2 linked regions of the Caenorhabditis elegans genome follow. The protein of the gene in region 1 purifies or fractionates together with the protein of each later gene. This does not show direct contact. Each region holds a gene or a part of one and is shown on either strand. Other genes may lie near its edges.

Region 1 (3,793 bases):
CTAAATTAGTTTCGATAAAACTTGCTTTATTGGCAAAAAATATTAATTTTTAAAAAAAGTTTCACTGTACTTCTCCTAAACACGGAGCATTGGAAATTTAATATTGATAGTTTTTCAAAAAAAATTTCATATTTTTCAAATTGAAAACTTACCATAGTCTGTTGTGATTGCATGTTTGACAGAGCACCCATATCCAGAGCTATGCTTGAGGAGCCATGCTGCTCATCATCTTGAAGAAGCTTTGAACGAACTAAAATTTCAGATTTTTATTGAATGAGCGAGGAAAATAAAATACCATTAGCTCCGGAAGAGGAGGAAGGAAGTCCCATTGGAACTGCTGCACCACTCGAGAATTTATCTCGGCGATTTTTTTCAGCCTTCATTGTTTCTGTACTAATTTCCAGTACGCTTTGATAATCTTTTCCGACATTCGCTAATTTTGACTGCAATCCAACTACAACTAATTGTATATGTCCACTATTTTGATTTTTCATGTTTCCTGCACGTCTTTTTGAAAATTCTTGAAGTTGTCCGATCTGTTTGTTCAAACCCGTAATGTCAGACTTGACAATTGATGAAAGATGGTCAATTTGAGATCGTTCTTCATAGCAGCTCTTTTTCTTAGCATATTCGGCAAGTTTTTCCATTTTTGCACACGTTTGACTCAATTCTTTTCCGATTCGCTTTGCGAGTTGATTGAACTGCACGGATTCAGATAGCATCTCATGCTTTGGTTGAGGTCTAATTCCATTTGCGGCTGCTTTCATCTGAAAAATTATATGTTACCCGAATTTTATATAAATAATAAAAATATTATCGCCTAGAATGTTTTTAAAAATATTAACAGGTGATTCGTGTTTCTTTTTTCTGTTCGAAGTGTATTTCGAGTTTCGCAAAAATCGATATATTCGTCTCGTCCAAATGTTGATGTGAAACCCGAATAACACGTTTTAAAAGTAAATGTTTCGAAATAAAAGCTTATTTTTAGAAGTTTAATGAAAAAACTCACTTCGTATGATTTGGCTGTCGCCCGGAATTCCGAAGTTCGATCTCTTGATGGCATTGTGATAATGATATGATCAAGTGGATTTCCAAAAATACTCAGCGATTCAAGTGTTTCTACTACCTTTGATCGATCTGCGTCTATGCTTTCAGTGCCTTCCGCTGTGTCGTAGGAGGATACAAGCGCCTCCTGAAAGATATATGCATGAAAAAATAAAAACCAGAAATATACAGATAGCCATCTTTCTTCGTTCCGATAGACAAACCTGCGCAGAATTCCAAAGTTGTGAAGCTGACGCGTTGAAAACGGTTGTGAGAGAGCTATACGCGAAACTAGTCGGAGCAACTGCTGAAGTGTGATTCTTCTGATCTGGATCGTAATCAAAATCGACTGTTGAGTAAGAACTGGCTTCTGGTATTCGTCGACGAGATCTAATGTTGTGAAAGTCCGACATCCGACATCGAACAAACTGAAAAATATTGTTTAAATGACTGAAAGCGTCGAAAAGATTAATATATTCAAATGTCACGGTAAAAATATTATTTCAAAAGAAAAACAAATAACAAATATTTCGCTGCATTGTCGCAACAGTCCACTAAACCGGCTCGACTTCGTGGAGAAGAAAATCAATGTGTGGTCGGAGGTTGTGCGTGGCGTTGCGTATTTTATGCGCAACAAACACGCTCCTCAATGCACTAGTTTTTCTTTTTTTTTTGTTTAATTTTCAGTTTAAGTTTTATATTTCTCAACCAAAATGCTCAGTCAAGTTAATTTTATTAAAAAAATACACATAACTTTTCGTTTCGATTTATTGTTTTAAGAAATTTCAGCGATTACCGTAAGATTTGGAACACGTTGCCTCCCGATTACCGTATCTCCCCGTAAATCGACACAAATAAAATAACAGCTTCCACTTCACGCTTCCGTTTTTGATTCCGTTTTCTGTATTCTTACTTAGTTTTGTCTATATTTTAGTGATTATAATATTACAGGAATGGCAGCCAACATTTTGGTGGTATCTTGCCTCATTCTTGGTTCCTTTGCCCACCAACCACAGCAGTTTCCTGGTTCTAATCAACAGCAACCACAACAGGTAAACAATGTTTGTAAAGAATAATAAGAAAATTATTTTCGCTAGAAATTGAACTGAAAAACAATCTGGATACAGTGATTTTTATTATTTTAAAGCTTCTTTAATTTTGTAAATTGTATTGAATAAATCAGGGTGGCCAAGCGGAACAAGCTCAACATGCTCAGCCTGGGCAACAGCAGTTTGGTGGAGAACAGGCCAGAGATGAACAGTAAGTTTTAATAACAATTTTCAAAATTAATTTAAAACATTTCAGCCACATAAAAGAACATTTGGACGGAAAAGTGGACCCAACTGCTAACATGACGCCAGAACAACTTCAATTCCATTATTTCAATATGCACGATTTAGATAAAAATGGGAAACTGGATGGAGTCGAGTTGATTAAGGCAATAACGCATTTCCATGCCGAGAATCCAGGACCACAGCATACACAAAATAATGCCAATGCCAATCATCAGCCACCACCACTCCCAAGTGAAGTTGAATTGGAGACGATGATTGATAGTATTTTAAAGTGAGATATATATTTAATTAATTTATTTTCTAGAGACTACTGCTAGCAATTAGCATAAGAAAGCACTAAAATATTCAAAGTCTTAAAAAAATACTTTACTGAATATTTTCAGGGACGACGATTTCAATGCTGATGGCTTCATCGACTACGGAGAGTTCCTCAAAGCACAAAAGCTTCGAGAAGATCAAGCAAGATCTCACCAGGAACAAATGCAGAAAGCTGGTGGCACACAATAATCGAGAATTCTGATTAGGACAACGATCTAATTAATAGCCATAATTTCCAATTCCTCGTTTCCAAAGTTTTCAATGTTTTATTAACATTCTACGTCTTTTGATGGGTTATATCGACTGCTGTAACAAATCATTTTATCATACTATCCTCGTCACTTTTAACACTTTAACTGGTACATAATAGTCAGACACCCTCCCCATTTCCCAGTCCTACAACTTTAGTTATTTTTCCAATTTTGCATTTTCCCCATCATTTCTCAAGTTGTGATGATTTTTCGAAACCCATTTGTAAAAAGCATAATTTATTGGTTTATCTTATAGTTAGTTGAGATCGAATAAAAACAAATGAAAATTTGTATTTAGCACCTGTAACAATAAAATTCATGTTTGCTTTTGCTTTTGCACTACCAAATTTTGCGTTGGAACTAAAAGGCGAAGCAGGGGGAGACTGATAATAAAATATTGACATTTGGCAGTCTTGAGAAAAAGAGTTTTCTGTCTATTTCTATTGATTTTATACATATTCCCACTCTATAATGCGTGGATTTTTATTCATCTCAACTGTATTCCTTCTATTAGGTATGCAAATCTGTTTATAACTTTCTAATGTTTATAAATTATTAAATTTTAGTGCTAGAAGCTCAAGGAGCAAAGTTTGCTGAAGAAAAAGAAGTACACGATGAAGAGTAAGTGCAAGTGTACGTATGAAAATTAGTTTGGTTAAAGTAAATGTAGATGCAATTATATGCCATATGCGAAATTTAGCAATTTTCGCGCTAAAAGCACATAACTCGGTCTCGACACGACACTTCTTGTCAAATACAAGCGGATGTGTGCCTCTAATGAGGACTGTAATTTTTTAATTTCATCGATCTTTCATTGTTGGTACACTATTTTTCAAAATTTATATGATTTAATTGATTTTTTTATTTTGAAAAAATTAACTAAAG
Region 2 (5,261 bases), on another chromosome or scaffold:
ATCAGGCATTCGAACAGCAATCACAAACGGTATGGTAGACAGGAGATTTTATCAGAAAATCGAAAAATCGAAAATTTTCGTTTTTTCGAAAAAAAAATTTGTCGATTTTTCAAAAATTAGCTTAAAATTTTGGTCAGGGTTCTTCTTTTTTTGATGAAAATATTTATTTTTTTTCTCATCAATAAAACAAAAATTTGATTTTGTAAAATCATATTTTGTGGTTAATTTTCGGAAATTTTTTTCGATTTTCCGGAAAATCGAAAAATCGAAAAATGACACAATTGGATCAAAAAACTAAACATTTAAATCTGCGAAAATCAAAAAAAACCAAAAAACAATTCGATGCTTAAATTTATTCGAAAAATTTTTTTTCGGCTTCCGTTTGGTCTAAAATAAAAAAAATAACCAAAAAAAAATAAAATAACCATAAAAATAAAATTTACATATTTCAGATGCTCCACTATACATCAGAGAATGCAAATCTTAAAGATAGACTCGCGAAAACGGAAGCTGCTCTCGCTGAAGCCAATTATAAAATTGAGCAATTGAATTTGAAGCCAATTTCGAATGGAATAGTTGTGGAGCACGAACCACAGGTAGAATTCGAGTGGAATTTTCGAAATTTCAGGAATTTCTAGAAAAAACACTGAAAAAGTATAATTTTATTGGAAAAGATGGAAAATCTTACCAAAATTATCGATTTTTTCATTAAAAAATCGAAAAAATGTGTAAAATTTCAGTTTTTCGAAACCTTGATTTTTTAACAGATTTCTTTTTTTTAAGAAGGAAAAAATATATATATATATAAAAATAGTTATATATTTGAGGTTAATTTGAGCAAAACTTGATAAAATTTCAATTTTTTTTTTGAAAAAAGCTGAAAAAATAATAAAAAATTCTAAAAATATCAAACACTTAAAATATAATTTTTCTATGAAAAAATTAATTATTTCGTTTTTCAAAAAACTACTTTTAAATTTTGGTTCGATTTTTTCTGAAGAAATTATTTTTTGCTACAGATTTTTCATCCACTTTTTCATTTTTTTTTCAATTTTCTCTGGAAAAAAACTAAAATAAAAACGTTTCGATGAGTAGCTTTTGAGCTTTATCTCAGTGAAAATAATTCAAACATTTCAAATTTTCAGGCTGACTCCGAAGAGTTTTCAAAACTGAAACAAGAACAAGAAGAACTTCTGATGCTTCTCGCTGATCAACACAATAAAATGTCAGCCTACCGACGCCTTCTTCGAAACCTAAAACAGCCAGTGACAGATGATGAGGACGAGTAATAAGGCTGTGGGATTACTAAAAATCGGGTTTCTTTTTTGTTTTCTTTGGGGGGTCAATCTTGTCATAGAACATGTAATACTTCCAATCAACTTTTCTTTTTTTAAATCGAATAGGTTTCCTGTATAATATTTAATTTATAACGCATACACCGTACTTTCGCAGGATTTTTTAAGTGTCTTCTTAAAGGCGCACAGGTTTTTTTCAGATATGTTTCGGCTTTCTTGTTTTTTTTTCTCAAACTGATTTAAAACAATTTTTAACTTATGTGATAAATGCAAAGAAAATAAACAAAATTAAATACCATAAAAATTTTTTTGGGCTCGCCGAGACCCATAAAACCGTGCGCCTTTAAGAAGACATCTCAGAGATCTTGTAAATCTACGATATCGTATTCGCCGTGATTTTGCTGGCAAAATATTTTCTTCCTGTTTTTTTTGTATCCCTACCTACTCTTTCCATTTCGTTCAAACCACACTGTCTTCTGTGATACCGAAATTATGTTTTTTTTTTCCTTTCAATTTTATTTATGTAAAACTTAATAGTAAATATGGTCCAAATAAATTATTGATTGATTCCGAAATCCATCATTCTCTCTCTCAGGTTGAATGGGGATTCGGTGAATGATCAAATGATATAACGAACCCGTCTATTCTCCATATCAATAGTGATTCGGAAGCCGGTTCGTTCCTCTCGCCTGCTTCTCCTGGCCCGCGCATCTGCCATTGTTCTTCGCCTGTACACACCCTTTTTGCCTCTCGAAAATAATGATCTGGAAGAAATTTGCACTTTTGCTCATTTTTCTACCATCTCTAGAAGCATGTCATGCTCAATTTCAAAAAGAGCTTCGATATTTAGACTTGTATCTTGGTATTAGGCCAGATAATAATGGAGAGATTCCTGTGGAAGGTTGGTTTTTTGGTTTTTTGAAGGAATTTACTGTTTTTTGCTCCGAACGAAAAAAGTCTAAATTTTCGATTTTTTGGAAAAATTCAATTTTTTTTCAATAATTTATGGCCACATCCCGATTTTTTAAAAATGTTTTTTTCAACATTTTCCAGTTTTTTTTGGATTTACTCTGAATTTTGACGAGATTTTTTTTTCCAAAAATTTAAGCTTTATCGGAAATTTACTTGATTTTGTAGTTCCTTATTAAAGGCGCACGGAATTAAAAGTTCGCGGTAGTTTAATTTTTATTTAAACTTTGAAAACTGATTGTCAACGATTTATTACAGCTGAAAACCATGTGATTTCATTGAAAAAAAATACAATACTACATCCAATGAACAAATAAAACTACCATAAACTTTTTTGCGCGCCGAGGCCCGTCTGAATAATTCCGTGAGCTTTTAATGAAGTACTTCAAAATCTACAGTAGTACAGTAGTAGTAAAATTACGGTATTTTATCCAGATTTCGCTAATATTTCGCTAATTTCTGTAACAAAAGTATGTAACAACAATAAATCAGCCGATTTTTACTTTCATAAAAAATCTGGTTTTAGATTCGTTCTTAAAAATTAGTGATAAATAAGCAATTTTAATGTGAAGTGTTTTTTTGTTTTTAAACAGCTAAAATTATCAAACCACGAGGATCTGCAAAAAAAAACCACAATCACGTGGATTTCAGAGGCCGTTGGATTTGCCACGTATATTGAGTCACCTGATGAACTCAACTGTGACTTTGAGACCGAATGTCTTTGGAGAAATGCGCCGACTGATAAGCTTTTGGATACCAGTGATTGGTGGTATTTTAAGGTTTGTTATTCATGAAAAACTTTCCTTCAAATGTCTTGTGCCATTCTATTCTTTTTTTGGAATATAAAACCTTTTCTGAGTGGGTCTTGTCACGATCTCAGTTATAGATTTCGCTGAATACAAACTTTGAATGTGGTATAATTGTTCAATTAGAAATAAAAATGTATGTGAAATTCCATATCCTACGCTATATGTAGGCCAGGGTATAATATACAATATTTAGCTTTCAGTTTTGAGACGAATAATATGTAAAAGATACCAACTAATTTTGGCAACTAATTGGTTTTATGAACTAGTTTTAACTGAAAGTTTCAAAAAAAAAACATTTCAAAAACTCGATTGAAAGTGGCAACATTTCGAGAATTTATTCAGACAATTCAATTATACAGTTCAACTTTAGAACCATTGGAAAGTTCACCAAAAATTATAGAAAAAATTTGGAACGCTTCACGAATTTGCGTGTCATCCTTGCGCAGGGGCCATGCTAATCTTCTCTGTATTGTTCCAATTTTAGTATATGTTCTCGGAAGAACGAACAGTTAGATTTACATTTCAATTATATAGGGACCATTTACACAGCAGCTGACATATTTGGAGTTATGTAAGACACTATGACTATGCTAGGGAAGTGGAGATGCAAATCGATATTGGTATCGCTATAGAATAGGTGCACAAATTATTGATCTACATCTACATTTGGTATAGTGTCTTACATAACTCCAAATATGCCAGCTGCATTGTTAATGGTCCCTATATAATTGAAATGTAAATCTAAATGTTTGTTCTTCCGAGAACATATACTAAAATTGGAACAATACAGAGAAGATTAGCATGGCCCCTGCGCAAGGATGACACGCAAATTCGTGAAGCGTTCCAAATTTTTTGACGATTTTGTTAGACAAATCTATAAATTCTATACTTACAATTTTTCAAAACTTTTTTAAAAAATTAAACAATTTCAGAAAAATGACGAGAAAACTTTCCCAGTTCAAATCCAGCCCGGAAATCCTGTAATTCCAAAAGGCGAACATTTTATAATTGCTGGAAATACGACGAAAAATCCGAATGGAGCAGTGTTGAGCAGTGCTCCAATTGCTTGTCAAAAAGGATTTGCCAACTTGACTTTCAGGTATTGTCAAAGATAATTTTAAGAATTTTAAGCACAAAGTTGGAGGGCCTAAATTTTTTTTGAAATAAAATGTGTTTGCTCTTCTTTGAAAGCTTAGATCTCTACTGTCTTTGCATTTTTTTTAATATGTAAAAAACGAACTAAGCGTTCTTCTATGATTCAATAGTTTGAAAAATGCTGATATAAAAAAAAAAAATCGAAATTTTTAGTAATCTTTATATGACGCACAATTTCTCGTTTTTACTACAAAAATATTGCTATTTAATATTTTCATATTAGATTTGAGTTGCCTGAGTAAAAGCTCACAAAGTATGCGATCGGCAAAATACTGTGCTCTAACTAACATAGATTCCAAAATAAAATTATAATCCCAGTTATATCCTTCTAGCTTCTGGCTATACAACAATGCTCAAGTGGAAGTTATCATCCTTCGAGCAATGAATCGTAGACGTCATCTTCAAGTCTTGCTCAGACCAAAAATGAAGTGTGATTTCTTGGGAGCCGCCAATGAGGAATGTCGTGTCGAGATTCCGCCGATTAAGGAACCGTTCAGAATTGGAATTCGAGCATTTGATCTCAAAGATAATACTGTTGGAAGTTTGGCAATCATTGATCATATCAGATATCACGGAAAGATTTGCCAGCAATCACGTAAGTTTTAAAGTTATTCGAGATATGAAGCAGTCAAAATCAAATTGGCGCGCAAAAAAAACGATATTTTTAATCCTTTTTTAAAAGATTTTGTTCTGTAAATTTTTCAAAATAAAACTAGATTTGTTAGAGAAGTTTTAAACTTTCACTGAACATCCAGAAAAATCCAATGCCTCACTCTTCATAATCTAACAAAATATCTCAATCACTCCCATTTTACCTAAAATTAATTATTCCAGCATTCCCATCATCATTCTCATCTCTTCGTATTCCTCCATATGATAATAGTCCACTTCAAAGAATGTCTGATTTGAGTTGTGAACGCCCGCTACGATCCTGTCGATGGGGAAATATGGCCAAATCTCAATTAAGTGAATGGAGAGTTGGTAGATCAATTGATCGATGGGTTGATATGTTTGAGGTTTGTTTTAATTAAAT

What was found.
Region 2: the proteins of F55A11.1 (region 1) and mam-3 fractionate together in Caenorhabditis elegans (co-fractionation; one large-scale study listed by BioGRID). This does not show direct contact.

What each region holds. Positions count from the first base shown.
Region 1 is NC_003283.11:11,762,583-11,766,375, reverse strand, and holds F55A11.1 (EF-hand domain-containing protein), read left to right. Parts: upstream 1-1,990; 5' UTR 1,991-1,997; coding exon 1,998-2,096; intron 2,097-2,227; coding exon 2,228-2,304; intron 2,305-2,349; coding exon 2,350-2,610; intron 2,611-2,722; coding exon 2,723-2,846; 3' UTR 2,847-3,237; downstream 3,238-3,793. Other genes in the region: syx-5 (Putative syntaxin-5), read right to left, coding at 153-250, 296-767, 1,010-1,192, 1,269-1,457; T04F3.4 (EF-hand domain-containing protein), read left to right, coding at 3,380-3,422, 3,475-3,529.
Region 2 is NC_003282.8:13,442,060-13,447,320, reverse strand, and holds the start of mam-3 (MAM domain-containing protein), read left to right. Parts: upstream 1-1,945; 5' UTR 1,946-2,054; coding exon 2,055-2,196; intron 2,197-2,915; coding exon 2,916-3,043; intron 3,044-3,474; exon of another isoform or gene 3,475-3,576; intron 3,577-3,819; exon of another isoform or gene 3,820-3,937; intron 3,938-4,005; coding exon 4,006-4,172; intron 4,173-4,560; coding exon 4,561-4,823; intron 4,824-5,062; coding exon 5,063-5,244; intron 5,245-5,261. Other genes in the region: uso-1 (Uso1_p115_head domain-containing protein), read left to right, coding at 1-29, 453-596, 1,146-1,289.